Lonchura striata: one gene and its partners. The protein of the gene in region 1 interacts with the protein of each later gene in a pairwise test. Links are inferred from orthologs where the notes say so. Each region holds a gene or a part of one and is shown on either strand. Other genes may lie near its edges.

Region 1 (7,356 bases):
TAGCCCCTTTATGTACTGGATTCTGCGTAAGGCTAGCATATAATGCTTAAAGAACAAAACCAATGAAGTCACCACAGCATAAACTACTTTGAAATTACCTATAGCTGAACTGACTTGCCCTATAGGTCCCTGATATTGCTGGAGGGGGCAGCAGTTATCTTGTAGCAGGTAAGAATGGGTGGTAATGACAAGAAGGAAAAATAATTTGATTTAGCAACAGCCACTGAACACAGTCTGAGACTGCAGGGCTCTATTTTCAAGGAAAATGTATCTTCCCTGCTAGAATAATGTGCAAACATTTATTGGATCATCTCCCTGTATCAAAATCACTGAGAGAATTAACAGTGTGGTGAAAAGGGTGAGAGCTTCTCTAGGTTAACTCACAGGATCAGATACTCAACCAAACTCAGTCAGTGTAAAAAATGAGATTTCTCTAACCATATAATTTGATTTACTGTTCTGCACAGAAACAGGTGCTGGGTGGTAAATCCCAGAGGCAGCACCCCGAGGCACAATCTTGGGCTATTAAGTCTTACTTAAGTTACTACTTGGCTTAAGTTGTTACTGGCGCATGGTGGTCTTTTTGTAGGGGGAGATGCCTGAGCTGGGGTGTGGTTTTTACTATTATAAGGAGCAAAAGTTCATCCCTAGGGCAAGTTCACAGTACAGAACCAGTCAAAACTGGGGATTTTTTTAGTTCATCATTACACATTCTGGACTAGAAGAGTGTTATCTTTCTGTGTTTTCCCCGTTCAAGAACTTAGGTCATAAATTTTCTCTCTTCCACATTCCTGTGACTGTTGCTTTCATTGCTTAACCACTTTGTTCTTTACCTTGTTTGGAACTTCACTCCCATTATTCATCAAGGTGGTAAGAGGAAAGCTAATGTCTTTACAATTTGATGAGTGACAGTACTGGTATTAACATATTTGAAACGGGTCTTAATGTCTGTACTAACTTTGGGCAGCAGGTTTGTTGCAGAGACCAGACAGCTTAGCTCCTGAAACAAACAAGTGGGTCTGTACAAACCTCAATTTCTCAACTTTGGGGAAAAATGGTAGGTACAAGGGGGAATATGTGGTAGGCAGTTTGGGAAGGCTGTACCTTCCGAGTACCTCAGCCAATGGAGAAAGGAAGAGGGCAACCTGCAGCTGGGAGTTGAGGACGGATGCTGTGCCCTCCGAAACCTTGAGCGAGAAAACCCCGCGAGCTTGTGTGAGGGCCTCTCTCCCTTTATTCAAATAAAGTTGCAGGACTCCTCTGTCTCTCCTGTATCGACATAAACTTCTGTCGTTTGTGGATTTTCCTGACAGTGGGATCCAGTACTGGGGCACCTGTGGGGAATCCCACTGGAGGCTGAAGGTCCAGTTGCATTGGTCCAAGAAGTTTAGTCCATCTTTAGACAACGTACAATTATGTCTTTTCATATTTAAGTTACGATAGTGATTGATTTGTGGCCCTGTCAAAAACCAAGATCATTTGAAAAAGCACAAGCAGTAACGAGCCGGAGCAGAAATGAACTGGAGCCACAACCAAACACGGAAACAAACGGGAGCTGCAAATAAGCTGAAGCCGGAAAGAAGCCGGGGAAAGTGAACCAAATTGGAGCCTAAAACATGCTGGAGGCACGAACAAATACTATGAGCTGAACCTGAGACCAACTGGGGACAGAAACAAACCACCTGGAGCTGCAAATGAGGTGCAGCAGAAACTAAAGAGAGCCTGTCCCGAGCTGGAATCCCGAAGGAGCGGCAGCCGCCAGCTCCGCGCAGCTCCTCCGCAGGCGCGGCCCCTCAGAGGCTCCGCGCCCGCGCCGCGCACTGCCCCGCGCCGGGCGCCGCCTGGCGGGCGCGGCGCAGCAGCGCAGCCCCGGCGGCGGCAGCGAGCCGCGGCTCTGGCCGTGCGCTGCAGCAAGGCTGCGAGAGGACAACGCTGCACACCCACTCCTGGGAGACAGCTCCGCGAGGGACGCCGTTAGGAACGTGAATCCACGATGTCAGAGGCTTGTGTCCAAAAGAGGGACAGAGGAGTCGCGTGGCTTTATTTGAATAGAGGGAGAGGCCCATGGCAATTTCCCATCGGGTCTCCCAGATTGTTGGGGGACTCAGCCCCCTTTTTGTCCTAAGTTCCTGGCCGCATCACCCTCTTCCTCCTTCCCGATGGCTGAGTTACTTGGAAGGTACAGACTTCCCAAATTGCCTCCTCTATGCCCCCCTCTGATACGCAGGCCCCTTTTGTTATGTAAAATAAAGAAGTAAAGGTATTAAGTCTTTGTTCCTTTTCTCTAGGTTCAGGAATTTAACATGGCCTTGGCTAAGCAACATTCCGTGTTGATTAGTAACATTTTTTAGAACTAATAGTTTCTTCTGTTACTTCCCTATCTGTAAGTTCCTAGCTCTATCTACAAGCAGATTGAGGTCTGTTTCTAAAGACACATTTGTCTTATTCCTTTCGGACACCATGCCTGGCATGGATACCGGAGCTAGAATAAGGACACTGTAGTTTGAATGTAACATTATAGCTGAAATAAGGACACAGTAGTTTGAATATGACACCATAGCTGGGATATCACATTCCCAAACATGCCCCGAACATGGCAGAAACACCCTCCCACCCCCACCTTCAACCCATGGATTAACCAGCCACAGCCATAAGGAATTTGTCAAAAAACATTTTTACCGCTGAAATCACTTGAGGCAGAAAACAAGTTTTCCATGGCTGGAAAGGTCTCATGGAAGAGTCTCACGTCTCCACCCAAACATGTCCCACTCCACGGCCCTCTGGCCACAGGCGCTTCCATGTCCCCTGTGCCAGTCACACTTCTCCGTATGCCCCACTCCAGACAAGCACCTTTCCATGCTGGCCCTGGCCATATCACCCTGAGCCACCGGGGGCCACACGTCCTCCCCCAGGCGTGTCCAGCCCATCTCGCACGCAGCCATCCCGGGACGGGAGCAGGAGCAGGGAGGGACAAGGCCACGGCTCCCGGGGGGACGCGCCGGGGCAGCGCCCCCGCCTCGGCCGAGCCCCGCGCCCTTTCCCCGCCCACCGCCCTCCGCCCGCCAATCAGCTCTCGCTGCCCGCCAGCCTTGGCCAATCGCGACGCGCGGCCCGCACCCCGCCCCGGTGCCCCGCCCCGCCGCCAGGGCCGCTCCGTCCGAGGCGGCGCCGCCGCTTCCGGCGCGCGGGGCCGCCACGGTGCGCGCCTGGCGCCGCTGGCGCCGGTGGCCCCGCCCCCTGCCGCGTGCTGTCCGCGCGCTCCTTCGGGACCCGCCGGCACCGGCCCCGCGGCCCCGCAGCGCCTCCGCCGCAAGCAGCAGCCGCTGGCCGTGGCCAGGTACGCCGGGACATCCCCCCCGCGGGAATCTCCTTCCGGGGTGGCTGGGCGCGGTGCGACACCGCCACCGTGTGCCGTCCGTGTCCCTGGGATCCCCGCAGCCGTGATACGCCCTTTGTTTGATGGGCGGGCTCTTGGGCTTTGCCTGGCCCCAGGGCTGGGACACCTCTTGACTGTGGGACACCTTCCATTCCTGAGGAGAGCGTGTGGCAGCCCCCCTTTCGGGGGACAGGGCTCGGCGAGAACCCCAGGACCATGCCCCCCACTCCCCCATTCATGGGATCCTCCCTTTCTGGGGATCCTGGGACACTGTTCCCCCAACAGAGAGGTCACTGTCCCGGGATGAGGTGGGGGTCCTTAACACGAGGGTCCCCCGTTTCTCTTCCAGGCAAGTGGCCTCCCAGTGTCAACTGCTTCAGTCATCCTTGGAGCGCCCGTCCTCCCCACAACTTCCCCAGCTACCCGATGAGCCGATGTCACTCCAAGATGCTCCAGGGGGTCTTTTCCAGATGCCCCCTGGAGACCCATTCCCTGAGCGGGTGACAGTAGTCTGGTTATCGGTGCTGGCCCTTGCCTTCGCCTTGGTTTGTGAACCTCAGGAGAATCTGTCGTTGGCTGAGATCACCCTGCGGCGCCTGGCTCCCCGCCTGCTCCTCTCCCTGCGCCTCCTTGGCCCTGGCGCTGATGTCCTGCTCCGTCCAGATGCCGCTGATGGCCTCCTGGACCGTGTCCTGCCCCATGGGCAGATCCTTTTTCTCAATGAACGTTTCCTCCGGGCAGTGGACTGAGAGCTGGTTATCAAAGCATCCCGCTGGGCTACAGATAGCATTCCTGCCTACCACCCCCAGATATTTTTGAGGGATGAGAAACAAGGGAGGGATCTGAGATGGTCACCAAGCCCCACTGGGATGGATGAGAAACATAGTTCAGGAATAAAGAGCAATGAGCCAGCTAAGAGCAGGGTTTTGATCCATTTATCCCCCAAACAGCATAATGGGAGAGCTAATAGCCATCCCCATAAATCCACCTGTCACAGGTCCAGACCCCAAAGTGCTTTCCCTTGTAACTGCACTTGTAAAGCTGGAGCACTTGAGGAGGGGTGCTGGGCACGGGGCTTCAGCCATGATAGGTTTCTGGCTGTGTCGGGGGATCTCACTGTGTGCTGGAGCTGTGGGGGCATTGCAGCCCACTGTGGCATCCCACCCTTAAGGGGAAGGGAGCACTGTCTTCACCTTCCCATGTGATGGCAGCTGTCACCCACAACTAGCTTGAATACAACCAAGAGCCAAAGAGATGTTATCCTGGAGCATTTCAATGGTGCTAGCAATTAATTGTTGATGAGAGTCAGCTGGAATCTGAATGTATGAGCCATTATTGTATCTGCACTGATAGGATTCCAGTTGCTGGATTTCAGTATCACCTAGTTTATGGCCAAAATTCTCTTGCAAATCAACCACCTGAATTGGATCAAATGGGATAGTTACTTGTGTGTGATTGTCCTCTCCACCATGAGGTCTAGCAGATTCAGGGGAAGTTGAAGGAGGTAAAGAATCATCTTTTCCCAGTTCTCTGTTTTGGGGATTGCCCTGTATGTTTCCATCCCATGTAAGTCTGCCAGACTTTTCCTGGAACTTTGGCCACCATATATAGCACCGTTTTGGTAGCAGTTTGCCAACCCTGTCCATCATCTGTATTTCAATTTTAAGTAAAGATCATGATGTTATTTCCTCATCATCAGATGAAAATGTTGCATGTATTTTTTTGTCAGGGTAACAGACACGTTTACTCTCTTCCATCTTCCTCATTGGATACAGAAGGCCAGAGTAGTGAGTCTGTATTTCTGCAGATGGTCCAGATGCTCTGTCCCGCACTGGTGCCTCCTTTCCCAGAGACCCCATCTGCCTGGGCCAGGCACCACTTGGCTTCTGCTTCTCCTCGATCTCCTGGAGCAAAAGCAGCACCTGCTCCATCATGGTGGGTTCCTGTACTGTACAACCTGCTGGATCAGATCATCCAGGATGGAGCAGATCAGCTTATTCATCCCTTTCCTACAAGAGGCATCAAAGGAGCACTCAGGAGGGCAGAGAGGGGGGCTACCCTTGCTAGCAGCACCCTCAGCCAGGTCCATAGCTGTGCTCCGTAGCTGAGCCATCTCTCATTAACCTTTACAGCTTGGGTGTGGCAGGAGGGTGGAGGTGCCAGGGCTCATGGCCACCAGAGCACATGGAATCCTGAGAGGTATGGCTGCCTGCAATGGGGGCCCTGGGTGGAAGAGCTGTCTCTGTACCTCCACAACCCCGTGGCACTCATTAAAGGGGCTATAGCTGGGGGAGAAGTTCAGCCATGTGGGAGGAGAGGTGATGCTGGGCTCCATTCCCAGCCCCTCATGGCTTGGGCTTGGTGCATAGCCAGCATCCACATTACCAAAGTATCCTACCAGGGATCAGGGCACACTCCCGTGGCTCTGGCAATACCTCTGTCACATGTGATTTGGGCTGGACTTCGCCTGATGGGGCACTGCCCCAAGCACAGTCTTGGCACAGGATCCAGTACTACTCCAGGCACAGTCCTGGCACAGGTGCCAGCCAGTTCAGAGGTTGTGAAGGCTACCAGCAGGGAAGACAGCCAGTGCTGTGTAGACCCACTGTCAGCCATGGAGCAGGAAGATGCAATCAGGCAGGAGCTGGGAAGCCTTCATGGCATTCCCCTCTACAAGAGCTTCATCGAGGGCTGGCCTCAGGTGAAGGCTTTCCAAGCACGTCCAGATGACCTGCTCATCTCCACTTACCCCAAATCAGGTGAGTGGTCCTGGGGAAGGGTGCCAGGGGCATGGGGTGACACCAGCCTCTGCAATGCTGTCCCTCTGTGGCAGGCACAACGTGGCTGAGCGAGATCATGGACATGATCTACCACAATGGCGATGTGGAGAAGTGCCGACGGGATGCCATCTACAACCGTGTGCCCTTCTTGGAGTTGAAGGTCTCCAAGAGTCTGTGTGGTGAGCTTCCCCAGCCTGGCTGCCTGGCTTGGGTAGAGAGGGAACTGAGCCAGCATGAGGGTGCGGGTGCTGGGGCTCAAACATCTAAGTCCCCTGTGCCACAGGTGTTGATCAGCTGGAGAACACCCCATCCCCGCGGCTGGTAAAGACCCATCTCCCAGTCCAGCTCCTCCCAACCTCCTTCTGGGAGAAGGACTGCAAGGTAACATGGCAGGTGCTCCCTGTCTCCCCATCTGGGTTGGTGGGAAGGAGGCACTACTCTGTACCTCCCAAACACATCCTTGGCTCTCTCCAGATTATCTACATGGCCCGCAACCCCAAGGATGTTGTCATCTCGTACTACTACTTCCACCAGATGGCCAAGATACACCACGACCCTGGCACAAAGGCTGAGTTCTTGGAGAACTTCATGGCCGGCAAAGGTGTGAGCTGAGCCACAGCATGCCCACCCTGCCATGCCAGTGGGAAGGACATCCCCCGCTACCCCTCTTTTCAGCTAATCCCTTGACCATATCCCACAGTGCCCTACGGATCCTGGTATGACCACGTGCGTGGATGGTGGGAGAAGAAGCGGGAGAAGAAGATACTCTACCTCTTCTATGAGGACATGAAGAAGGTGAGGGTGGGATGGAGGGGAAGGAACCCTGGTTGCCCCCTCCCCCCCCACCCCCACTTTCCCACTTTTTTGGCAGCCTGCTCATATCAGTCACCCTGCAGGACCCACGGCAGGAGGTGCAGAAGATCTTGCAGTTCCTGGGTAAAGAGTTGTCAGAGAGAACAGTGGAGAGCATCCTGCACCACACCTCCTTCCAAGAGATGAAGAAGAACCCTGCTGCCAACTATGAGACCATGCTCCCCACCTTGATGGATCACAGCATCTCCCCCTTCCTCCGAAAAGGTGGGGGTTTGGCCAGTGGTGGAGGATTTGGGAGGGATGTCCCTGGATTGTATTTCAGCCCCCATCTGTGGCTGCAAATATATCATGTGTGTGAGGATTTACCCCAGTTATTTTCTTGCTTCC
Region 2 (7,296 bases), on another chromosome or scaffold:
AAAGAGATGTTCCAGCTGGGCTGAGATAAAAGGCAAAGGCCTTGGTCGGCTCCTCAGGGGAGGTTTGGGTGTCAGGGAAATGCCTTACTCTTTGCAATCTCAGCTTCTCCTTCTCTGCTGAACTTCTGTGGAATTTCTGAGGTACCTGGAATTACAAAATGCAAGTTTTAGAGGAGATCCTGCTCCTGCCTTCCCAGCCTGAGTGACACCGGGCCGCTCCTGCAGATCACAGCCAGTCACTCCAAATTCCCCCAGAGCAGGGAATGAGGACAAAACTTGGGAATTTCCAATCTCCCCATTCCCATCCCAGGGCTCCTGCTCCCATGAACAAACCCCTCAGGTCCCCTCAGCAAGGGAACACCACGTGCACAGCACCCAGGGGAGCTGCTCTGAACCACAGGGGACATTTCAATATGGCAAACTCGCTTCCTTCCAGCTAAAATTGGGTTTGTTTGGGTTTTTTTTTTTCTTGGCCTCCACCTATCTTGCTGTGATATTTAGTATTTAGCTGTAATTTTATGAATACAAGGAGTGTTTTCCACATTTTTACAATTTCTTCTTGCCATCACAGTCCACTTGATCTTCCACCAGGAACAGCTCACTGACCCTAAATTCCAAACAGGGCACACTTCCCGTTTTTCTTTTATTTATGGGGGAAAGAAAAAGGTGGTTTATGCTTAAGATCATTGCTCATAGACTGGTTAAAGATTGTCAATATTTCAGCACACTGTGACTTGATTGACTGGATCCCCCCCTCCTCCTCCTGCCATTCACAGCATCACATTGTGAAATTGTGATTAACAGGCTAACACAGCCCAACTGCTTTATTTTCTATATTTAGCTGCCATAAAACAGGAGTTCTGTCAAGTGAGGGCTTCAGCTCCTCAGAGCTGCTTCCTCCCAGGAAAACAAACCTGCCAGGACTCGCAGCTGCACAGCTTGGGGTGCAGCCCCTCATTTTGGGGAGCAGCAGACGAGCAAATCCAGCCCCACTGGCAGTACTGGGTTACACCAAGATTGCTTTTTGTTGTTCTGCTACACTGGAAATACTTCATGCCTGCTTGAGTCTGTTTATTTTAGGGGTGGAAGACTGAGAGTTTTCAGAGAGGAAGAATTGATCGCTTGACTTGATAGACACAACGAAAGGACTGGGAGAACCATCCCCGTGGTGGTGCTGCTGCTCTTGGAAGCTTCTCTGTCCAAACTGCCCCAAAAATCAGAGTGTTTGGGGGCCTCCTGCTGAAGCAGAGCTGCTAAACTGAAACTCAGGTGAACAAAAACCCCCTCATCCAGAGGTTTTTCATAGAATCAGAATGCTTTGGGTTGGGAGGGCCCTTAGAGCCCATCCATGGGGCATTTCCACTGTGCCAGGCTGCTCCAATCCCCACCCAGCCTGGCCTTGGGCACTGCCAGGGATGAGGCAGGGCAGCTGCTCTGGGAAATCTGTGCCAGGGCTTTTCCATGGCAGCTGCAGGAAATTCAGAGCTGGAAAAAACATCTGCACTGGCTGTGCTGGGGGAACATCCTCACAGGAATCCCAGCAGCTCGGAGGGGGATGAAACAGAGCTTGGGAAAAAACACCTAAAGTACAAAACTGCTGCTCCCAAAACACCAAGTGTCAAGTGGGTATTCCATTAAAGAAATGTAAATCCAGCAGCAGCCAGAAGCAGAGAGAATCAAACCCTTGAGCTGCAGGATTTAAAGACTCCAAAGGGCAACAAATCAGTAATCAACCACCACCACCTTCCCAACGCTCCTCACTGCCCCACTCAACCTCCTCCCCACAATCCCAGCAACCCAAACGTTGCACCACAGCAACTTGCACCCCAAACCAGAGCAGACCAACCTTCCTGGCAGGTGTGGAGGCAGCCAGAGGAATGCTGCTGCCCTTGGTCTGTGCCAGGAGCTCGGGGGAGCTCCCGGAGCTCAGTGAGGAGTTGGTCAGTCCCGAGTCTCCCTCGTGGGACGACTCTAGGGCCTCGCTCTCCGAGGCGGTGCTGCCATCCAGAGAGGCCACCTGGGGGGATTTCAGGCTCATGATGTCCTCCAGCAGCACCACGGGCACCTTCCCCTCAAAAAGCACATCCTTCAGTTCACCTGGAGTGCCCTTCCTGCCTGCCACGTCCTTGCAGGCCGTGAGGCCGGAGCAGGGCTGGCTCCCAGCTCCCAAATCCTGCTCTGCCTTGGCTGCAGCTGCGCAGGGCCCCTCAGTCTGCGTGGAGTCACCTGTTGGGCTGCTCTGCGAGGAGCTCAGGCAGCTCAGCTCCTTTCCTATGGTGCCATTGCTGACAGCAGCTCTAGAATCCACAGCCTCCTGCTCCGTGCCATCCCCGAGTCCGTGGGCAGAGCCCTTGGAGAGGTCAGGAACATCCCCGGGGTCACTCGTGTCACCTCCTGGGTTTTTCTGGATAAAATGGTCCAATGGACCTTTTCCATTCATGAGTTTTGGAGGCAAATTCCCATCTGAGCTCAGCTGGCAGTCATTCTCCACATCGTCCAGGGAGGCACCTGAGGCATCCAGGGAGGGATCCTTGCTGGGAACAAAAGCACTCGGGGAGCTCTTGACTTTTTTGACCTCTGGATTCACATCGAGTTTTTCCTTTGGCACAGGATTGAGGCGCTTGAAGGGCAGCCGAGCTGCAACAACAACACCAGGTTAGAGCCACGAGGTGACAAAGGGTTTCATTCATTTTTAAGAATAAGACTGAGATAAGCCACTTAGAGATGCTTTAATCACAGCCAAGCCAATCCCAAAACAATCCCATAAAACCCATTTGTGCAGCCAATGTATTCCACAAAATCACATCTGAGATGTTCTTGCTAAAACCGTGCTGGATGAGAGACACTCCCTTACCTTGGACGAGCTTCCGTGGAGGAACAGCAGCTTTGTCTCTGCACTCCATGGCTACGGGAGAAAACAACAAATCAGCACCCGGGGCTTTCTCTGAGACAGCTGAGGCCGAGCCCAGCAGCTCTCCCAGGGCCGGCGAGGGAGGACAAAGGGGTCCCACTGTCACCCCCGAGCCACCAGCTCCCAGCAGCCGCAGCCTCCTCCTGGCTGGGCAGAGCAGGAACGTCCCCAGGAGGCCCCGAGGAGAAGCGAGGAGGAAATTCCTCCCTGTGAGGGCGGCCAGGCCCTGGCACAGCGAGCCCAGAGCAGCTGCGGCTGCCCCTGGCAGTGCCCAGGGCCAGGCTGCATCACCCCGGCGCAGCACACAGCGTCCCTACCCACGGCAGGACGAGCTTTCGGATCCCTCCCCACCCAAACCGGTCCGTGACTCCCCGAGCGAGGCTGCGGGGCGGGCCGGGGCCCAGCCCCGGGGCGCGGCGGCAGCTCCGGCACCTCCTTTGTTACCCGGGGCAGGCCCCGCGCACCCCCGCGGCCCAACCGCCGCCGGAAACACCTCGCGCCCCGGCCGCGCCGCGCCCCGCGGGCTGCGCCCTACCTGCGGCGGCGGCCGGCGCGGCTGGCGGCGGTGCCGGCCGGCCCGTGAGGCGGCGCGGCCCGCGCAGCGCCCGCGGCTCCGGGCCCGGTCCCGCCCGGCCCGTCCCGCTCGTACTTGGCGGGAGCCGGGGCGACCCCGCGTCCCGCGCCGCTGATTGGCGGAGCGCGCCCCACGTGACCCGCCCGGCCACGCTCCCCCGCGGCGCCTCGCCTCTCGGTTGGTCGCCGCCGTCAGCGCCGCTGATTGGCGGAGGGGGGTGTCGGTCCGGCGCGCTGCGGGCGCTGATTGGGCGGTTTTGTAAAGGGCCGGCGGGGCGCCGCTGGGTGCCGGGGCTGGGCCCGAGGGATGCCCGCTCACCGGGCGGGAACGGCGCTGCGGCGGGCCGGTCCCGGGCCGGAGGAGCCTGTCCGCAGCACCGGGAGGAGAGGGTGGAGCCAGCACTGCCGCCCCTCGCGCTACTACGGGCATCGAGCCACCGCGCGAAATGGCGGCGGGACCAGCGGCCAATAAGCGCGCCGCTGTCGCGAGGGATGCTGGGAGCTGTAGTTTTCCATTTGGAGCTCTGTCGCCCCATTACTATAGCGGGGGTCCCGGCACCGCCGTCCCCGTGCGGCGCACCCGGTCCGCTCCCGGCGGGCGGTGCTTCGTCCGTCACGAGAAATCCACGGCTGCGCCACCGCCGTTCCCCGCCACGAGCGCCCGTCGCGCGTGTCGCGACAGAACGGCTCTCTCGGCTCCGCCCGGCCGGCAGGGGGCGCGCCGGCCCCGCGCGGCGCTCCGGCCGCGCCGCTCGCTGGTGGCGGCGGCCGGGGGCGGCGGCGGAAGCGGCGGCGGGGACGGGCCGGGCCGGGCTGGGACGGGCGGAGCGTCCTGAGGCTCCCGAGGCTCCCGCCGCCCCCAGCGCCAGGTCCCGCCGCCCGCAGACCGGGCCAGGCACCGGCACCGGCACCATGTCGGTGGCGGGGCTGAAGAAGCAGTTCTACAAAGCGACCCAGGTGAGACACCGGCACCGCGCGCCCGCTCCCGCCGCCGCTGCGCTGCGGCCGGGCCGATCATCCCTTACCGGTCCGGAGAACCCATCCCGGCCGCTGCTGCCCCGGCGCTGCGCGCTCCCCGCCGTTATCCCGGTGCTGGTCCCGCCGGGCATCCCCCGGTACCCGCCGGTGCCCAGCCTGGCACCCCCCGGGATCCCGGGCTCGTACCTCCCGGTTCTCGGTGTGATCCCGGGGCTCGGTGCGGGCCGTGAGCGGAGCCGGGACCCCCGGGCGGGGCTCGGTGCGGGGAGCCGTTCTCCCGGTGGCACCGGGGAGGGGACACGGGCAGGGAATCGGCTTCGCGGCGGTGACACCTGGGGGTCACTGGGGGTGTTTCCCCCTCCCCAAAACCCGCCCGCACAACCGGGACGGATCCAGCCTTAAACCGGCCGGGAGAGGCGGAGGAAGCGCCGGGAGCAGCGGCCCCGGTAACCCCGGTAACCCCGGCGGCGGCCTCGGGAAGCTCCCGGTTCCTGCAGAGCGGCTGGAGCGGGAGGGAAAAGGGCTGGGAAAAGCTCCAGAGGTTCGGGAATCGCAGCCAGGCTCGAGGAGTTGGTGCGGTGCCCTTGGAGCTCAGCCCTGGGAGCGCCCAGCGCCGGGCTTGGAGCAGCCCCGGACGGAGGAATGGGATTTTCCATCAGCTGCTCCACAATTCCATAATTCCGTGTGGGAACGGGCCTCCAAGAGGCTTCACAAACTCCTTTTTCCTCCCTCAGAGGAAGCAATGGCCATTCCCAAGCCTCCCCAGCAGAATTCTCCTTCCCACCGCCTCCCGTCCGCCGCTGGGAGGTTTTGTGGATGCGTTTTGGGAAGGGTTCAGGAATCGCAAATTCCCCCTCTGCTCCTGCTGCTTTCCTGCCCCTGCTTTCAATTCCAGATAAATTTGGCACGGATGGTGTTTTCCATCGCTGAGCTTAAACCCTTTCAGTTCATCCCACCCCTGTGTGCGACATGTGTCGCCTCCTTCCTCGGCTCCGTTTCCCCAAATCCGTTTTATTTACCCAGCAAAGCAAAAAGAACAAATTCCTGAGGTCATCCTCCACCCTCCTTTCCCACTGAACCCGTCGTGGGGTGGTTTTTATGCTGTTTTTCCTCAACTTCCACGGGGAAAGGTCATGCTGGGGACTGGGAGTGGGAGGATTTTGCTGGCCTGGATGTGCTGTGGTGGCGTCAGGAGGTGATTCAGGACTAACACGTTCCTAAGCCCCAAAATATCATTTTAAGCCCCAGATGAAACCATTTTTTGGAGGAATTACAAATTCTTCCAGAGGTGCTACCACCCCTTGCAGTGTCCACGACTTAGAAATGCTCTGGCTGGAAACTGGGAGTCACTGGTTCCAGTTTGGCCATTTTTTCTTGTCTCTTCCTCCCTTCCTTCTCTTTTCCCCCCTTTCTCCCCTCTGGTCCCACTCAGCCCTTGGCTGAAGGAGGGGAGGATTAGTTATTTTTTGGCTCCCTTCAAACCATCAGACTCTGCCAAAGCCCAACATGTGGAAGATCTTTCCTAAAATATTACGTTTTGTTCCACGTCTGTCCTTCATTGAAGGCAATCAGAGCCAGGAGTGGGGTCTGCAGGGACCCCAAAGATTTGGGATCCCTGTTTAGGATCCAGAGGGAGCAGGGCTTGGCTCGTGGGCCCCATCCATGTGATTTTTCCAAGCCCACGTCTCCCCTGGGTGAGGCAGCCCACATGCAGGAGAGAGCTTGGAGTATCCTGGAAAAAAAAAAAAATAAAATAATCTGAGTCGTGCTGGCAAATGGTGGAGATGGGGAACAGCTCTGAGTGTGTCCAGAACAGGTTCTGCCTGTTCACAGCAAACTGTTCCCTAAAAAAAAAATAAAAAAAAAAAATAAAGAAAGCTGGAGAAAACATCCTGAGGAAGGGGGAGAAACAGCAGCAGCAGCTTGGAGCTGGGAACAGGGTGGGAAGTCCCTGCCTGGTCCAGGGTTTCATCCAGCCTGGAATTCACAGGGACCTCCTGGTGTTGTAACAGCTTGGTTTGCACCCTTTGGGTTTTGTACAAACTGCTGGAAATCCTAAAATCCTGCAGATCTTCCCAGGCAGTGGGCAGGACAGGCTGCTGCTCCGGGGGGGATCCTGAGGGAATCTGGGGGTGCCAGCAGCAGGGCTGGAGGGAGGAAACGGCCTCAGTGAGGCTGAAATCTGATATTAAAGCAAATTTTTTCCATGGAAAAGGTGCTCAGGCATTGGAACAGGCTGCCCAATGGAGTCGCCATCCCTGAAGTGTTCAAAAACCAGGTGGATGTGGCACTTGGGGACACGGTGGTGAACCTGGGCTGGACTCAGTGGCCCTAAAGCTCTTTTCCAAGCTCACCCATTCCACAATTCCACATCCCAGCCCTGCCTGGGTCACGCTCAGCCAGCAGCAGGAACAGCCCAGGAGCTTTTTGGGGTCAGGGGAGTGCAGGGATGGGATTGTGCTGCCCTTCCCAGGAGGTTTTGGGGTCAGGAAATGCAGGGATGGGTTTGTGCTGCCCTTCCCAGGAGGTTTTTGGGGTCAGGGGAGTGCAGGGATGGGTTTGTGCTGCCCTTCCCAGGAGTTTTTGGGGTCAGGAAATGCAGGGATGGATTTGTGCTGCCCTTCCCAGAGCCCAGGAGCTTTTTGGGGTCAGGAAATGCAGGGATGGGTTTGTGCTGCCCTTCCCAGGAGGTTTTTGGGGTCAGGAAATGCAGGGATGGGTTTGTGCTGCCCTTCCCAGAGCCCAGGAGCTTTTTGGGGTCAGGAAATGCAGGGATGGGTTTGTGCTGCCCTTCCCAGGAGGTTTTTGGGGTCAGGAAATGCAGGGATGGGTTT
Region 3 (7,539 bases), on another chromosome or scaffold:
TGGGCTTATCCTCCTTGAGGACTGGGAAGATGTTCTTGAATTCTCCCAAACAGCCCAGCTGTAGGCCACTTCATATTGATATCTCGAAAAGAAATCAAAATCGCAATTAAGCACAAAAAAATGTAAGACAATCTAAGTAGGTAACTCCAATCAAAAGGCAAGTTAATGTGTCATATAACCCAGAAGGATAAAAACAGTTAGAGTAACCTAACTAAAGTAGGAGCAAGAATTCCTGACAGTTAATATCACAGCCTAGAAACAGGTGTCACCACCCAGCAACCCAGTAGCAGCAGTGAAGTTTCCTACTGCTGTGGCTTTTGATATGTATTTTCTACCCTTGAAGAATTACGTGCAGCAGCCACTGAGAGACAATTGTAGACTGCTATTCAAACTTAAAGCCATACATTTCACTTAAAGAACCAAAAGGACTAAATATATACTGCATGACAATATTTAGCGAAAATGTCTTTTTATTATTTCACTGTAGTAACACACCACAAAAGCCATGTTTCCCTATCCTTTTAAGTAAAAGTTGAAGTGTGAGTAATGGAGCCAAACAACTTGCTTTGAACAATTTAACTGGAGATAAGAGTCAACGGAATTTTTTCTGCGCAACCAGCGTGGAGAGGGATTCATACTCACTTTACCAGAACAGGTCAGCTAAGCAACAGCAGGAGCTCCAGAATGTGAGCTGCCAATTGTACAAACAAACAAAATAAAACCCAAAAACAAACAAAAAAAAAACCCAAAAAAACAAAACAAACAAAAAAAAACCAACAAAAAAACAAACAACCTTCATTGTGGAACACTGCTGTTTGAACAACAGGTTCAAATGCTATATGCCAGCAGTGCAACAAATAAAAGATGTTAAAAAGAAAGCAAAAATAATTGACACAATGCATTCCTTTAATTGCTGCCATTTTTTTTGAACAAAACCTGCAAGAATTACCTATTACGTTTCAGATACAAGATGTTGTACCAGGTACTCCTCTAATGTTAGCAGAAAGAAAGCATCTTATTCCCCTTAAAAATCTTCATAATCTCTGCTTAGAGTTAAAAATGGACTCGGAAACAGAAAAGAAAAATTACAAGCAAGGCTTGCTTCAGAAGTTGTACATACATATATCCCAAAAGGTTAAAGGACTATGGAAGACAAAAAACCACGGGGTAGGCTGCTGAAACATAAGGTAAGAACTATAATCCAAAAAAGCTATGAAGTTGCAACACACATATTTATGATGTATGTAAACTGTATGGAAGACATATTTTAAAAGTCTTCAGAAAAAAAAAAAAAAGCAGAGTAATATTTTAAGAGGCAACAGAACAATCCAACAAGTTGCACACCAAAACAATGCAGAATCCCCTCCTCCTAAAGCACTCCATATTTAAATTACTACACTATTGTTGAACAAGTATCTTTCAAATATATTATTTAAAGCGTCTCAAAAATCCCAGAACCATAAATATACATGTATCTTAATGTCTCCCCCCAAATCTGCCCTAAAATGTCAACATTTAATAGGTTATTATTTAGTTCATCTTTAAAACCTACCTATTAATCCGTGTTTCAACATCCAGAAAAAGGGAGTTTTATCTGCATTAACGATCTAAGAGAAACTTCAACTGATACTTGTTTCTTCATACTATACTACACTGCATACCTTAAATCACAAGCATAACAACTATTCAAAGACTTTATGTATTCTTAAATATTGATTTTGCTGCTCTTCGTTTTCACGTCGAAAGAGAAGAGATAGCAACTACTAAGAAGCCCTTAAAGCCCTAAACCGCCGCCTTGTAGTAACTCGACTAAACAAAACTCAGCCTTACAAAACTTATTTCCCTTCCCAAACTATACATGTTCCATAAATTCCTTTCTATAAGCCTTCTGCAATGTGATCCAACTATCTAAGGAGTACAGCAACCAAATAAATGAACGGCGCATACCCATGCAAGTACTCTCATCTCATCTCCAGCATACCAGGTATTTGTTGAATGTGGAATGAAATATTAATGGAAGAAGAGGCCCAAGAAGACTAAACATTCACGACATAGCTTAAATAAAAAGAAAACGCTAGCAATAATTCCTCAACTTCTCCAAAAGCAGGCAATAAGTGAGCTTACTTTCACGGGCAGAATCGCTATTTAATACACAGAAAACCCTCCACAGAATTTATCGGCCACCCATGAGAGCCACTTCTGGAGACTGCCCCGTCGGCTGAGGAACGGCAGCGCACTCAGCCCCTCCGCTCCCACCGACACTCACGCACACACAGCCCCACACCCAGCGCAGCTCCCACCGACACTCACGCACACACAGCCCCACACCCAGCGCAGCTCCCACCGACACTCACGCACACACAGCCCCACACCCAGCGCAGCTCCCACCGACACTCACGCACACACAGCCCCACACCCAGCGCAGCTCGCAGACGTAATTTCACACACGGAGGACTGCGACTACAACCCGGCCGGAGGGGCGGGGAGGAAAAGGCTCGGCTAGCGACGAAAAGAGCCCAGCTCGCCCCTCATCCAGGCAGCTGCAGCGGCGTGAAGACGGAAAACGAAGCTTTTTTTTTTGCTTTAATTTTTTTTTTTCCTATTAAATATGAAGGCAGCCAGACAGGGCGGGCACCCCCCGCGCTCACCAGCCCCTCCTCCCCCGGCGGGGCTGCAGGGCCGGGGCTCTCACCGTCCCGCCGGTGCCCGCTCGCTCCCGGCCGCCGCCCCGGGCCGGCGGCGCCGGGCAGGCGCTGCCCCCGCTCGCCCCGAGGCGCCTGCCCCGGCTCTGCCCGCGGGCGGCGGCGGCGCGGCGCGGCGCCCCGCTCACCTTCCAGCAGCCGGGTGATGAGGCTGTCCACGTTCAGCTCCCCGTCCGCCATTTTGTGGCCACCAGACTCGGTCCCGGGCGGGGAGAGGGCGGGGTGGAGGGCGCTCCACAGAGAAGGAGGAGGAGCAGGGAGCGGCGGCCGCAGCGACAGTGGCTCCCCCCCACCCCCCTCCGGCGGTCCCCGGCGGCCGCCCGGCTTCTCCCGCTCCCTCGCAGCTAAATGGGAGAACGCGGGCACCGCTCCTCCCCGCGCCTCCTCCCCTCCTCAGCAGCCGCCACGGCGCATGTGCCGCCTCGCCCGCCGCGGCCGCCCCGCGCCCCGGCAGCGCGCAGGCGCGGCGGGCTCGGCGGCGCAGGCGCGGAGCGGGCGCGGCCGTGAGGGGGGAGAGCGAGCGCGGGGCCGCGCTCAGCCGGGTCACCCCTCGCCGCTGGCACCGCAGCCCTGCCAGCTCGCAGCCTGTTAAAAATAATTTTTAAAAAGTCTGTCATAACTGGTGCAGCGCGCTGTGCTCTTCGCAGCGCTCTTCTAACGCAGCTGTCAGAGAAAACTCTAGTTCGTGACACTCATAGTTTCACTGCGGCTGGAGATGCTTAGAGGACTTTTTTGGTGATTTCTGGAACTTTTTTTTTTTTTTTTTTTTTTTTTTTTTTTGAGATGAGCTCTCTAAAGACATGTTTACATACTTCTGTCAGCAGATGCTTGCCTTGGATGGACAGAGAAGTGCTTTAAAATTTAGGTGGTGAAAACCCTCTGTGAACCGGGAGAGCAGATAAATACATGTATGTTGACAAAGTAACAAAGTGCAGATGTTCTAGGAAAAACAGACCTCTCCTTTATATACCTAAATATAGATGTTGGTGTAGAAACTCGAACTTTTCCATCAGTCCCTACAAGCAAGCAAAATGCTGCCACCTTATATAATGTTGAAATCCAATATTTATCTCCTGATTAGAAGAAAATGAGTATGAGCAAAACAAAAGCAATTAGGACAAGGTGGGGCCATGATTAGGTATCAGATGTTGCTAAGTGTCCAGACAGGTGAAAGAATGCTCTTTTGAAATGCCTACACAGGTGGGCAGGTTATACGGAAATAAAATTTCAGCTCATCTGCTCATGACAGGATGTACATCTATCCTTTCTTGTTTTTCCAATTCTGCTGGTATTGGAAAACTAAATTAAAAAAAAAAAAAAAACACTAAAACGTTTTTCTTTCATTTTTTCTTTAAACTAGGAAAAACAATTATTCCACTTTTTGAAAGTTCATCCTTATCCCAACTACTTCATTGCTGCCAAGACTAATAGGTCTGCAGTCCCTCTTGAGCTTTTAGGAATTGTCCCAGTTTCATTTCACATAACTGATCTGCCCTGGAGGCTATTTTAAGCCATCACAACATCAGGTTCAGACAGTTCAGACATAATAATATATTATCGCAGAACATTCTGCATTGATAATTAAACAGGGATATGAAATTATCTTCCACCGTGGCATAAAAATATAATTAAGGCATCTTCCCAAACTCCGTAGTGTGATAAACTCTTCCAGGTACGCTGAACAAAACAATCCTCTAACAACTGTTTTTACTAGGCATGTCAGCATGTTCCAGAAACAATTCAGCAGCATATCATAACAACAAAATATTTTAATATAAGCAGAGATGCTATGAAAAAGAACAAGCTGCAAAAAATAGCTCATTCTTTCCTTGTAGATTCTGTGCCAGTGTCTTTTCTTATTGGGAGCACGGCTGACATGCTTTATTGGGTGACAGCTACTGCCCAGCTGTACCTGGGCTGTCACTTGGGTGGAAGGTCCCCTCACTGTGCTGCATAACCCTGTAAAGTTTGCAGCCCCCTTTCTTTGTAGCTTGAGCAGGGACACAAATAAGTGGGTTTCTCCCTCAGTGGGTTAAAACTTAACATATCCCATTGACATAATCCAAGTACAGTAAACAGAATTAAAAGATCAGAGAATGAGGCTTATTGTCTTCTGCAGTACAGAAAGAAATAGTCAATGAAAGCACTTTCTGTGATCAAGGGTAGATGTTCAGTAATTTCAGCATTACACCATGCACAGATACAGGCCAAAGACAGCTAAGTGGTGATTCAAGTACAAGGGGGAACTGGACTGATGCCTTGTCAAAAGCCCAGTAATAATCCTCACCTTTCTAAATTGTCTTTCAGTTATTTTGAAATTCCTCTCACGTCCACCAAGATGGTTTTTCTTCTAACTTTCCCCTTCTTGGTCTCAGTGCCATTTACCATAAATACCTCATGTGTCAACTTTCCTTATCCACATGCTCTCTCAAAATGTCCTTTCATTTGCACTGTTCTTCTGCTCAGTTTGTCAGATCTGAAAGACAAAAATTTCCAAAGAAATTGGCAAAACAACTATGTGTTAGTAAATGTCATTCCCTCAACTGTGACTGTGTAGACGCGAGTTCTCACTTTAGGCTGCTGTTGCTGGGAATTTGAGAGAGTTGCTTCCCCAGCTACAGAGCACTGACTACTCCTTCCTGGTAACCTCATGTTGGTTCAGACAGAACTTCTGCTACATATGCACAAAAGTATATGTAGTGCACATTAAAGTTAGTGCGCTACATATACTTTTGTGTTATTTACTGTGGTGTTGTAACTGTCAAAAACTATCACCCTCCTGGGTCTGTCATCAGTTACCTGGTAGACAGTACATGACAGTATTTTACAGCATTATCCCATCACTGCAGCTCATTTCCATTGTACTTTATCACCTTGGCAAACTGTAACTCAGGGCTGACTGCAGCTCTTGTGTGGATAGGAGGGAGAGGCCAGTAGGAGCCATGTGGTTAGTTTTCCAGTGTGTAATTAAGAGCGTATCCTCCCTGAGTGGCAATAGCTAAACCACTGCTGTCTCCTCAGTTCCCTTTTCCAGTTTCTTACTTGAAATAGAAATTAGTGATCCAATTGAAAGTGTATTTTCTTAGGAGAGTTTGTTTACAAAAATATTGACAGATCTCTTTAGTCAGAAATTATAAGAAACTGTATTAAGGTAATCTCAAAATAAAACCTGCAGATAACTTATCCCTGTTTTGTCCAAAAAGCTTAGATTAAGTGATAGAAGAAGAAAAGCCAACAGATCCCACTCTGTAGTACTTTATGACCCTTTTTTGTTTCTCAGTATTTGCACTAAAACTGGGTAAATTGTTGGGTTTGGTTAGAACATTTTAAGATGTAAAAATAAAATATTCTCCTACACTGAACTAAACCCAAGATTTTCTCAACCTTCCTCACAAATTAAGGAGAGTCCCAAACTAGCCAGCGGTTTGCATTTGGTGGCACATACCAAGGATCTGGAAAACTCTTCTCTAAATGCCTGCATCCATACTGATTCTCTTTATATCCCTGCTTGGAACTGCAACACTTTGTGTAAACAATTAAACATCCACTGGCCCAGGCATTCTAGTCTGGGTCCATGTCCAGTGAATGCCCCAGTCATTCAGTGGTAGTGCTGTTTTCTCTCTCTCTTAATATAGTTTTTGTTTGAAGCATGAGGTCTTTGATTGAGACACAAACCCTGTACTCATCAAGGCAATAGTATTTTTTGAAGAACAAGATTGTTTTGTAGGTTAATACTGACCTTTGATTCCTGTGAATGTAGTTATGCCATCATTACCTTTTATGCATATTTAAAAGGCAGGGCAGGGCAGATCTTGATGTTCCCAGGAAACAGATTGTTTATGTCAAAAACCAATGCTGAAACAGTAAAAAAAGATTAGAATAGATATCGTAAGTAAGACCCATATTGAAAAACTAATTTTTTAAAAAATAGCAGCTCCCTCTGCCCTATCCTGACAGCCCCCAGCTGAGTTAGAGTCTGGAAGGCAGTAGAGAGCCCCCCCAGAAGCTGCATGCAAAATAGGGACAAGGTGAAGCATAACCAGGGTTTTGTATCACAAGTTACTTAATCTCTCTGTGTCATATTTCAAATGTTTTGTTTTATTTTCTTTAAATTACGTTTATTAGCATGTGATAGAATCTCAATTCCCCTGACAGCCTGTCCTACTGCCCACAAACTATGAGAAATACACAACACTTGCTGAGGTGTTACTCCCCAAGTGAGGAAGGGGGAAGGACTTCTGAAGCAAAACAAGGAAAATAATTTGGGACTGCAAGATCTGCATTTTGCAGGATGTCAATCAAGCTTACTATTCCTCTGCTTTGGAGAGAAAAAAATCTTCTCCTACTGTTTCCCAGGAAGGAACAGCTGCAAGAACTGAAAGTGTCTGCATCTATTTTCCTCAGTAAACATGGGAATATTTAGTTTCAGCAAAACCAGATGGTTTACGCCCTGTGAATATGCTGGCATTTGACACCAGCAGCCAGTTTCACAAAGTGCATGCAGAGAGTGAGAAAGAACTCCTTTAAACTCTGGGACCTGACACAAGGAATAAAAGCTCTGAAGGCAGAAATAACAGATTGACTAAAAACCCAACCTTTATCAAGGGATCTCCAAGTGCTCGCTAAATATCATTAATCAGACTACATAACAGTCCATGAAGTGATTAAATTTTGATACACATTTCTTACACTGAAGGTTACACTTAAAAAGAGAAGGTAAATAAGTTCCTCTGGGTTATGTGGTGAGTCACGGTCTGGTCTCCTGCACGCTATGTCTACGTCTCTTCTCACTAATGTGTCTCCAGTGTGCTGTGTCCTCAGCCATATTCCCAGGACA
Region 4 (6,821 bases), on another chromosome or scaffold:
CTTGTGCAGATGACTGGAGATAACTCGAGCAAGAATGGGATAGAATTAGTCCCATCATCCGAGACCACAAGAGGAAACTGATTCTGAGTGGGCACAAACCCTCACTGCAGCCCCCTCCAGGGCTGAATTTTTGTCCCCAAGGGCAGAGTTTAACACACCCAGGTCACCTCTTGGCTGTGCGTGGAGCAGCCAGCCCTGGAGCCAAAGCTTCTGTCATTCCTCACCCTATTTATTCCCAGGGCAGGGTGAGACTGCAACTGCACAGCGGACAGTGCCCACTCCTCGCTGTCCCTCAAGGCCAGGGGTGCTGGCTCTGCCCAGCTGCAGCTCTGGCACTGCCCCAGGCAGCCCTGCAGTCCCTGGGGAGGTGCTGACACGCAGCCATGCCACGACTGCCTCCCTGCCACTGCTGCTCCCGGGCCGCAGCCAGACCCAGGGGCTTGGGCGGCTGTGCAGCAGCAGCACGCAAACACGAGGCCTTAACACACGGCTTGCACTGGTGGTGTAACAGCCCAGGGAGCCTCTGCACAGCACAGAGCCATCTGCACCTGGACGATCCTTCTCTCCACCGGCCCAGAGGAACAGACACAGCCAGAGACAGGGGCAGGGAAGGGCCGGAGCCAAGTGTGGTGGCACCGCAGTTTGGCTCTGCTGGCCCCAGCATCCCACTCTCTGCCAGCCAGCACAGAAAAACAGCTTTTGCTGGAGATCATGCCCCCGTCTCTGGAACACTGGGAGCTTTGTGTGCAGGAGCAGATACTCCCTCACTGCTGAGCGGGAGCTGCTCATCCCAGGACAAGGGGCACAGGCACACAGGGGAACAGTGACACCCTGGAGTCTGAGGCAATGCGCTTCCCTAAGCTGTGCCAGAAATGATCTTCCTACCTGCTAGGAAAGCCTTTATTTCTTCCCCCCTTCCTAGGCATTATCCCCAAAGTAAGGATGTCTCTATCATCCCTTCTAAAAGGATTATTCCAAGAGCTGTGATTATTGGAAGCATGAACAGAGCACTCCCTCCATCACAGCAAACAAACACAAGTTTTCCACAGGGATGGATGAGCCCCAGATCCACCCCAAAGAGGAATAACACCACAGGAGATTGAGAGCCACAGCATCCTGTGCCTGGACTTCTGCACAGAAGGGTCCACAGTCTGGACTGAGCCCATGTGCTCTGAAACCAGCCCCACAAAAAGTTCCCAGCCACTGCTGCTGCACAACATTGCACATCACATACCAGGGTCTGCAGCAGTGAGGGGCAAGAGAGGGCAGGGAATGCTCAGGACGGCCTGTCCAGGACTGCCTGACCCACCACAAACAGCCCTGTGCCTTGGAGAGGCTGCTCACACACCCCAGGGCTCACAAACACCCTGCCACTGCCCAGCCACCCTGCCCTACTGAGAGCAGATGCAAGGGGAGGTCTCGTCCCTGCCCTGCCCCGATAACCTCCCGTGAGCTGCTGCAGCAGTGCCAGAGCTCCAAAGCTTCCTCCCAGCAGCACAAAACCAGAGATAAACACCAGGATCAGCCACGGACACCAGCACAAACCCCTGAGGAGGAGGGTAAGGATACAGCAGGGAGCTGGTCCTCAGAAGGCCATGGGCTAACAGGGAGCAGCAGCAGTGTGGGACACAGGGATAAACGTGCAAAACAGCTCAAGACCCACCAGCAAAGGAAATGCCATGCAGTTAGAGCAGATCTCCTGCAATTTCTCAAAAAATGGGGTTTAACAGCATTGAGCTCTTGCATCTTTAACAGCAGCTACTCAGTGAGGACACCTGGCACCTAACTCCAAGGAAAAATGGCCTGTGCAATGAAATCCCTACCACTGAGCAGCCTGGGGGACACAAACTGGGCATCCTGCCACTCCTGGGCAAGAACCTGGGATGAGAAAGGTCCCACCAGCCAGTAGCAGTCAGGGCAGCCCCCAGGCTGCAGAGGAAGTCTCAGAGGAACGTTTAACTGACAAAAATTCAACAGCACCCTCGGATTCCTCCCAATCAGCCCCTCACAGCTCTTTGTGGAGCGCCCAGCCCAGCCCTGGCATTTGAACTGTCCAGGCCATTAACCACTAAAAGTGCGCCAGGCATTACTCAAAGTCAGAGAATTTTACTCCTTGACGCCACCCTGCCTTTGTGGCAGCGGAGCAGAGCACCAAGAGCAGAAGGTGCACGCTGGCTGTTTACCTTGGGTCCGGTCCTCAGACTCCGGCAATCCCGGCGGCTCGCAGAACTCCTTGAGTGGCGAGCAGGTTGGTGTTTCTGCTTCAGGGGTCTCAAAATTATCAGTGGAGTCCGAGCTGCCGAGGGGGGGAAAAGAGTGAGGAATTACTGCTTTCAAGGCTACCTCTGAAATCCTCCACAGCGCCTACACGTCCAGCCAGGCCGCAGGCTGGCCGTGGGCATCCGGGGCAGCCACTCGCTCCTGTCCAGCGGGACATGCTAGCAAACGGAAAAGGGAGAGCAGGTGAAACATCCTCGTCAGCAGCGCCCTGTGCGCCCCAGCCCTGCGGCGGGGCTTCGTTCCCGGGCTGAGCACACGGCACGGGCCTCCAAGGACATGCAGCCCCGCAGCATCCCCCGCCGCTCCGGCCCTGCGCCGCCCAGCACCCTGCGGGAAGCAGCCCCGGCCCCCAGCCCGGCGCGGTGCGGGATCCCCGGCAGGCAGGCAGCGAGCGGGGAGCGAGGGGCGGCGGGGAGAGGCCGGGGAGGACGCGCCCGCAGCCCCGCATGGGTGCGGGCGCCGCGGGAGGGCGGGCGGGGAAGGGGCCGCGGGCGACTTGCCTGAAGCCGAGGGCCGAGCCCCCCGCCGGCGGGTCCCGGTCCTCCTCCTCACCATCCTCCTCGGCAGCAGCGTCCCCCTCCTCGGGGCTGCCCCCGCCCCGCACCGCCGACCAGGTCCAGCGGGCCCACTGCACCGGCGAGAGGATCTGCCAGGCGCTGAACGCCATCGGCCCCGCCGCGCTGCCCGCCGGGCTCACTGCGGCCGCGCCGCCGCCCCCATCGCGCCCCGCTCCGCTCCGCTCCGCTCCGCTCGGGCCGCCCGCCCCGCGCCCGCCCCCGGCGCCGCCCGCCGGGAGGGGCCGGCCCGGCGCCCCCGCCGCCGCCCGGAGCCCCCGGCCGCGGGGAGGGACGCGGGGCAGCCCGGCTGGCCGCCCCTCCCGGCCGGGGGGCACGGCCGCCGCTCTTCCTATCCGAACTCCCAAATTCGCCGATTGCTGCCCCAAGGCGGGGCCGGGCACATCGCTGTCACCCCTCGCGGCGCCCTGCCTCGCCCCACCGCCGCCACAGGGAGCCCCCGCGTGAGAGGGCAGGGAACTGTGAAACCAGATCCCCGCCGCTTCATCCCGCAGTTACTTGGTTGCACCTGTGCCGTCACAGAGCCGGCAGGACACGAATTCTTTCCACTCTGGACGTGCCCGAGAAGACCCCACGCGGGCGGGGAGCTGCCCTGGGGGGCAGGCAGCTCCCAGGAATTCTCACTTCACCCAGGAAGACTCGGTCCCACCGGGAAGGCTCGCCCCCCTGGGCAGCCTTGCCCAAGGAAAGGGGCTTTCCAGAGCTGAGGAGCCGAGCGCAGGAGGCAGGGGCAGAGAGGAGGGAAACACCTGTCCTTTCCATTTTCCAAGGAAATACTGGCCTCAACAGCCCTGGCTGATGCTATATCCTTCCGTGGCAGCAAGTTTATTTACTTATTAAACTATTGCTGTTTAAAAAGAACAGCCAGCAGTTCCCACAGAAATCAACCTTGCTGGCCTCCCTCGGGAACTTTCCCTCAGGAACTTTTCCCCTAACAAGGGCTCCCACTCCCAAATTCATCACCTCCCACACGCTTGCTAGAGAGAGGAGGATAACATTACTGACACCATGCCGCGGCCACAGCGCTGTGAGGAATGTCCAGGGCTCTGGCAGCAGATCCGCCATGGGCAGTGGCACTGCTGGCTCCGGACATTGGCAGCTCCCTGGAACCCTGACTGCTTTACCCCGGTCCCAGCAGCAGATGGCCTCGGGAATGGCAGACAACTGTCCTGCTGTGAAGCCAGCCCGGCCCACTGCAGAGAAGAGCTGCTGGCCCTCGCTGACCACACCAAAGCTCCCATGGCAGGCTGAGCCCACGGCTTCCCTGTGAATCAGCAGCCAGCGCTGGGAGTTGGGAATGCCTCTGCATGGACAGAGGGGCCCCGGGCCAGAGCAGACCTGTCCATCTGGTCTGGTTGCCTCTGACACCAGCCTCTGTCGAAGCTTCAAAGGGCTCAGTACTCACCGCTGAGCATCTCAAATAACCTCCCTGCAGGGATCCTTTCTCCAGGCTTCCCTCTGTTGGTGTCCTTATTAGATATATGTGTCATTCCTGTGGGCTTTTACTGCCCATCCTCTTGAAAAGAAAATCTCTTACTCCTTTCCACAATACTTCTAAGCTTCCCCAAAGACTTCTCTGGGTGAACCAAAGCTGAGGTGCTGCCAGGTCCCACCACAGGTCAGTGGCAGGAGAGGCCCAGGGAACACCTCAGCCCCTGCACCATGTTGGCCCCCACATCCCCAGGGCCTGGGGACAAGGGACCCTGCACAATCCCTTACTGCCGTGTAGAGGACACTGAGCAAGAGGGGACTTTGTGCCTCATATTGAAGCTTAGCCAAAAACCATGAGTCTGAAGCAAAAGCAGTAGCTCAACATCCTGTTGCCCATGGCTGCCGTGAGCAGAGCACAGCCTACTTCCCCTCTCCAAAGCGGCAGAGCCGATTTCTGCAGATGAATCTTAGATCAGATCTTCAGCATGAGCCGCGCTGCAGCAGCTCGCTGCAGCCTGACCTCATCCTCCTCCTGCTCCCGCTTCCCCTTCCCACCTCCCACTGAACCCGAGGAGCAGCAGCGGTGACGGCACCGCCGTGAGCAGCTGAGCAGCTCTGCCAGGGGAAGGAGAAAGCCGAGTGCATCCGAGCAGCAGCAGCACTGGCACAGCAGCAGGGACGAGCCACCTCCGCTGCAGAGGGAAGGAGCTGCGTGTGACAGGCTGAGCAGGAGGGAACTGGGGCACACGAGTGCAGGAAATGATCAGGACCTGTCCTTGTGCCTCCAGCGAGGAGCCCCAGTCCCAGCCAGCACCCGGGGAAGGAGCCGGCAGGAACGGGATCAGCAGGACTGAACCATGCCGGCTGCAGAGCTCCTGACTTGCAGGGCCCTGGGGCACGAAGATACCAGAGCAGTGCAGGGGCAGAGCCTGCTTCCACCTGCTGTTCCTGATGAGCAATCAAGAAAATGCCTCGAGTGGCATTTTCCAGCTTGGCACCTGACCCAGCCTGGCAGCAGCACTGGCTGCAAATCACCACCGAGGAGATAACCTGACTTTGTCAGTCACACTGGAGGCTCTGCCTGCCAAACGCTGCTTGGCACAGTCAGCAAACACATTTCTGCAGAGCAGGGAGGATGCTGACCTGTTTTAAAACACCTGCCAGCAGTTTCCATCCTCGCAGAGAGATGCAGCCCACACAGGCAGCAGCTGGACGGGCTGTCCTTGGCACCGCTGTCACCTCCCTCACTGCTGTCACAGGACTCACTGTGCCAAGCCCTGCACACACACAGCGGCTCAGGGACCGGGGATGTGCAGCCCATGGACGTCTCTGGCAGTGGCTGTGCTGAACTGCCTAAAATCCCACCCACGCTTCTCACGCTGCCTGGACTTTCCAGGAGGGGACAGCAGCGGCCCCTGCTGCACAGAGAACAGGTGGAGCCCCAAATATTTTGGAACTAGAAGAGCTCTGTCATCACAGAAGCTGCAAAAAGAAGCAAATCCTTGCTTAGCTTTTCATGTTTATCCTTGCAGGGAGCCAGCTGCATCCAGGGATAACAGATCTCATCCAGATGGACCTTCCCTTCACACCGGGGATGAATTTCCTTCTGGCTGTCTGGCAGCAGTGCCTCTGCCTGACCCCAAAAGCACAGCGTGCACAATTTCTCTCAGTGTCCCCGCACCTTGGTTCCCAGGAAGGGCTCAAGGAATAACGCTGCGGAACAGGAATCACACAGCCGCGTTTGGAGCTGCAGTGCCCCAGGCCAGAGGAAGGCATGCACCTGGAATTTTCCCTCTCAGCCCTTTCATTAGGCAGGAGAACACCTATTTCTGGCTTTTAAGCTTTTCTGGGCACAGCAGCCAGTGCTGACTTTTCTAGCTTAGAAACAGATCTTTGGTGGGGTTTCATTTCTCTTTTCCACTCCTGCCTTTCTGCTCCTCTGCAGTGGGGCCTTTCACTGCCCTGCCAGGACCAGGACCAGGGCCTGGCTCCCTGCAGGCAATGCCAGGATGGGGCAGGAGGACAGCAGGGGATGGTGGCGACAGCCCAGAGATCAGCGCACGGAAAAAACACAAATCCATATTTCACTGCTGTGTAAATCTCCCCACAGCCTGTAATAAGCACCTTATCCACATAGCATTTATCTCCTCCAGGAGAGGAGGTTCAAGGTGTTTCACGAGCATTTTACTGCTGCTGCGTTTTATTCCAACCTATTCCATTGGTCAGGGACCTGCATCGCCTGCGTGCGGCAGCATCTGGAGCGTCCCGGGCGTTCCCGAGGTGCGGGAGCATCCCAAAGCATCCCGGCGTAACCCCTAGGTGTGCCAGCGCCCCGAAACACGTCCCGGGAACAGCGGCGGCCCCGGGAGCCCGGCGGGCTCGGGCGGGCGCTGCTCTCGCTAGAGGGCTCCCCAGGATGGGCTTGCGAGGGCTGCGAGCTCCCGGCCCCGGAGCGCCGGGCTGGGGCCCCGCCGCTGCCCCGGAGCGCCGGGCTCCTTTTGCTTCGCCTGACCTGGGCAGAACTTCAGCCTGGGC

The links.
Region 2: the proteins of SH2D4A (region 1) and SH3GL1 interact in binary tests that used the Homo sapiens proteins (3 or more experiments, as listed by UniProt). The two-hybrid records come from large-scale screens. The link is inferred for Lonchura striata from reciprocal best matches to the Homo sapiens genes SH2D4A and SH3GL1.
Region 3: the proteins of SH2D4A (region 1) and PPP1CB interact in binary tests that used the Homo sapiens proteins (3 or more experiments, as listed by UniProt). The two-hybrid records come from large-scale screens. The link is inferred for Lonchura striata from reciprocal best matches to the Homo sapiens genes SH2D4A and PPP1CB.
Region 4: the proteins of SH2D4A (region 1) and TACC1 interact in binary tests that used the Homo sapiens proteins (3 or more experiments, as listed by UniProt). The two-hybrid records come from large-scale screens. The link is inferred for Lonchura striata from reciprocal best matches to the Homo sapiens genes SH2D4A and TACC1.

Annotation. Positions count from the first base shown.
Region 1 is NC_134606.1:45,007,188-45,014,543, reverse strand, and holds the start of SH2D4A (SH2 domain-containing protein 4A), read right to left. Parts: upstream 3,014-7,356; 5' UTR 2,680-3,013; intron 1-2,679. Other genes in the region: sulfotransferase 1 family member D1, read left to right, coding at 5,724-6,135, 6,210-6,335, 6,440-6,537, 6,631-6,757, 6,857-6,951, 7,053-7,233. UniProt on the Homo sapiens protein: Inhibits estrogen-induced cell proliferation by competing with PLCG for binding to ESR1, blocking the effect of estrogen on PLCG and repressing estrogen-induced proliferation. May play a role in T-cell development and function.
Region 2 is NC_134630.1:6,027,986-6,035,281, forward strand, and holds the start of SH3GL1 (endophilin-A2), read left to right. Parts: upstream 1-4,277; 5' UTR 4,278-4,396; coding exon 4,397-4,441; intron 4,442-4,509; exon of another isoform or gene 4,510-4,521; intron 4,522-7,296. Other genes in the region: CHAF1A (chromatin assembly factor 1 subunit A), read right to left, coding at 89-145, 1,847-2,637, 2,855-2,903. UniProt on the Homo sapiens protein: Implicated in endocytosis. May recruit other proteins to membranes with high curvature.
Region 3 is NC_134605.1:6,984,143-6,991,681, reverse strand, and holds the start of PPP1CB (serine/threonine-protein phosphatase PP1-beta catalytic subunit), read right to left. Parts: upstream 3,011-7,539; 5' UTR 2,883-3,010; coding exon 2,831-2,882; intron 1-2,830. UniProt on the Homo sapiens protein: Protein phosphatase that associates with over 200 regulatory proteins to form highly specific holoenzymes which dephosphorylate hundreds of biological targets.
Region 4 is NC_134634.1:4,533,834-4,540,654, reverse strand, and holds the start of TACC1 (transforming acidic coiled-coil-containing protein 1), read right to left. Parts: upstream 3,017-6,821; 5' UTR 2,948-3,016; coding exon 2,781-2,947; intron 2,297-2,780; coding exon 2,184-2,296; intron 1-2,183. UniProt on the Homo sapiens protein: Involved in transcription regulation induced by nuclear receptors, including in T3 thyroid hormone and all-trans retinoic acid pathways. Might promote the nuclear localization of the receptors.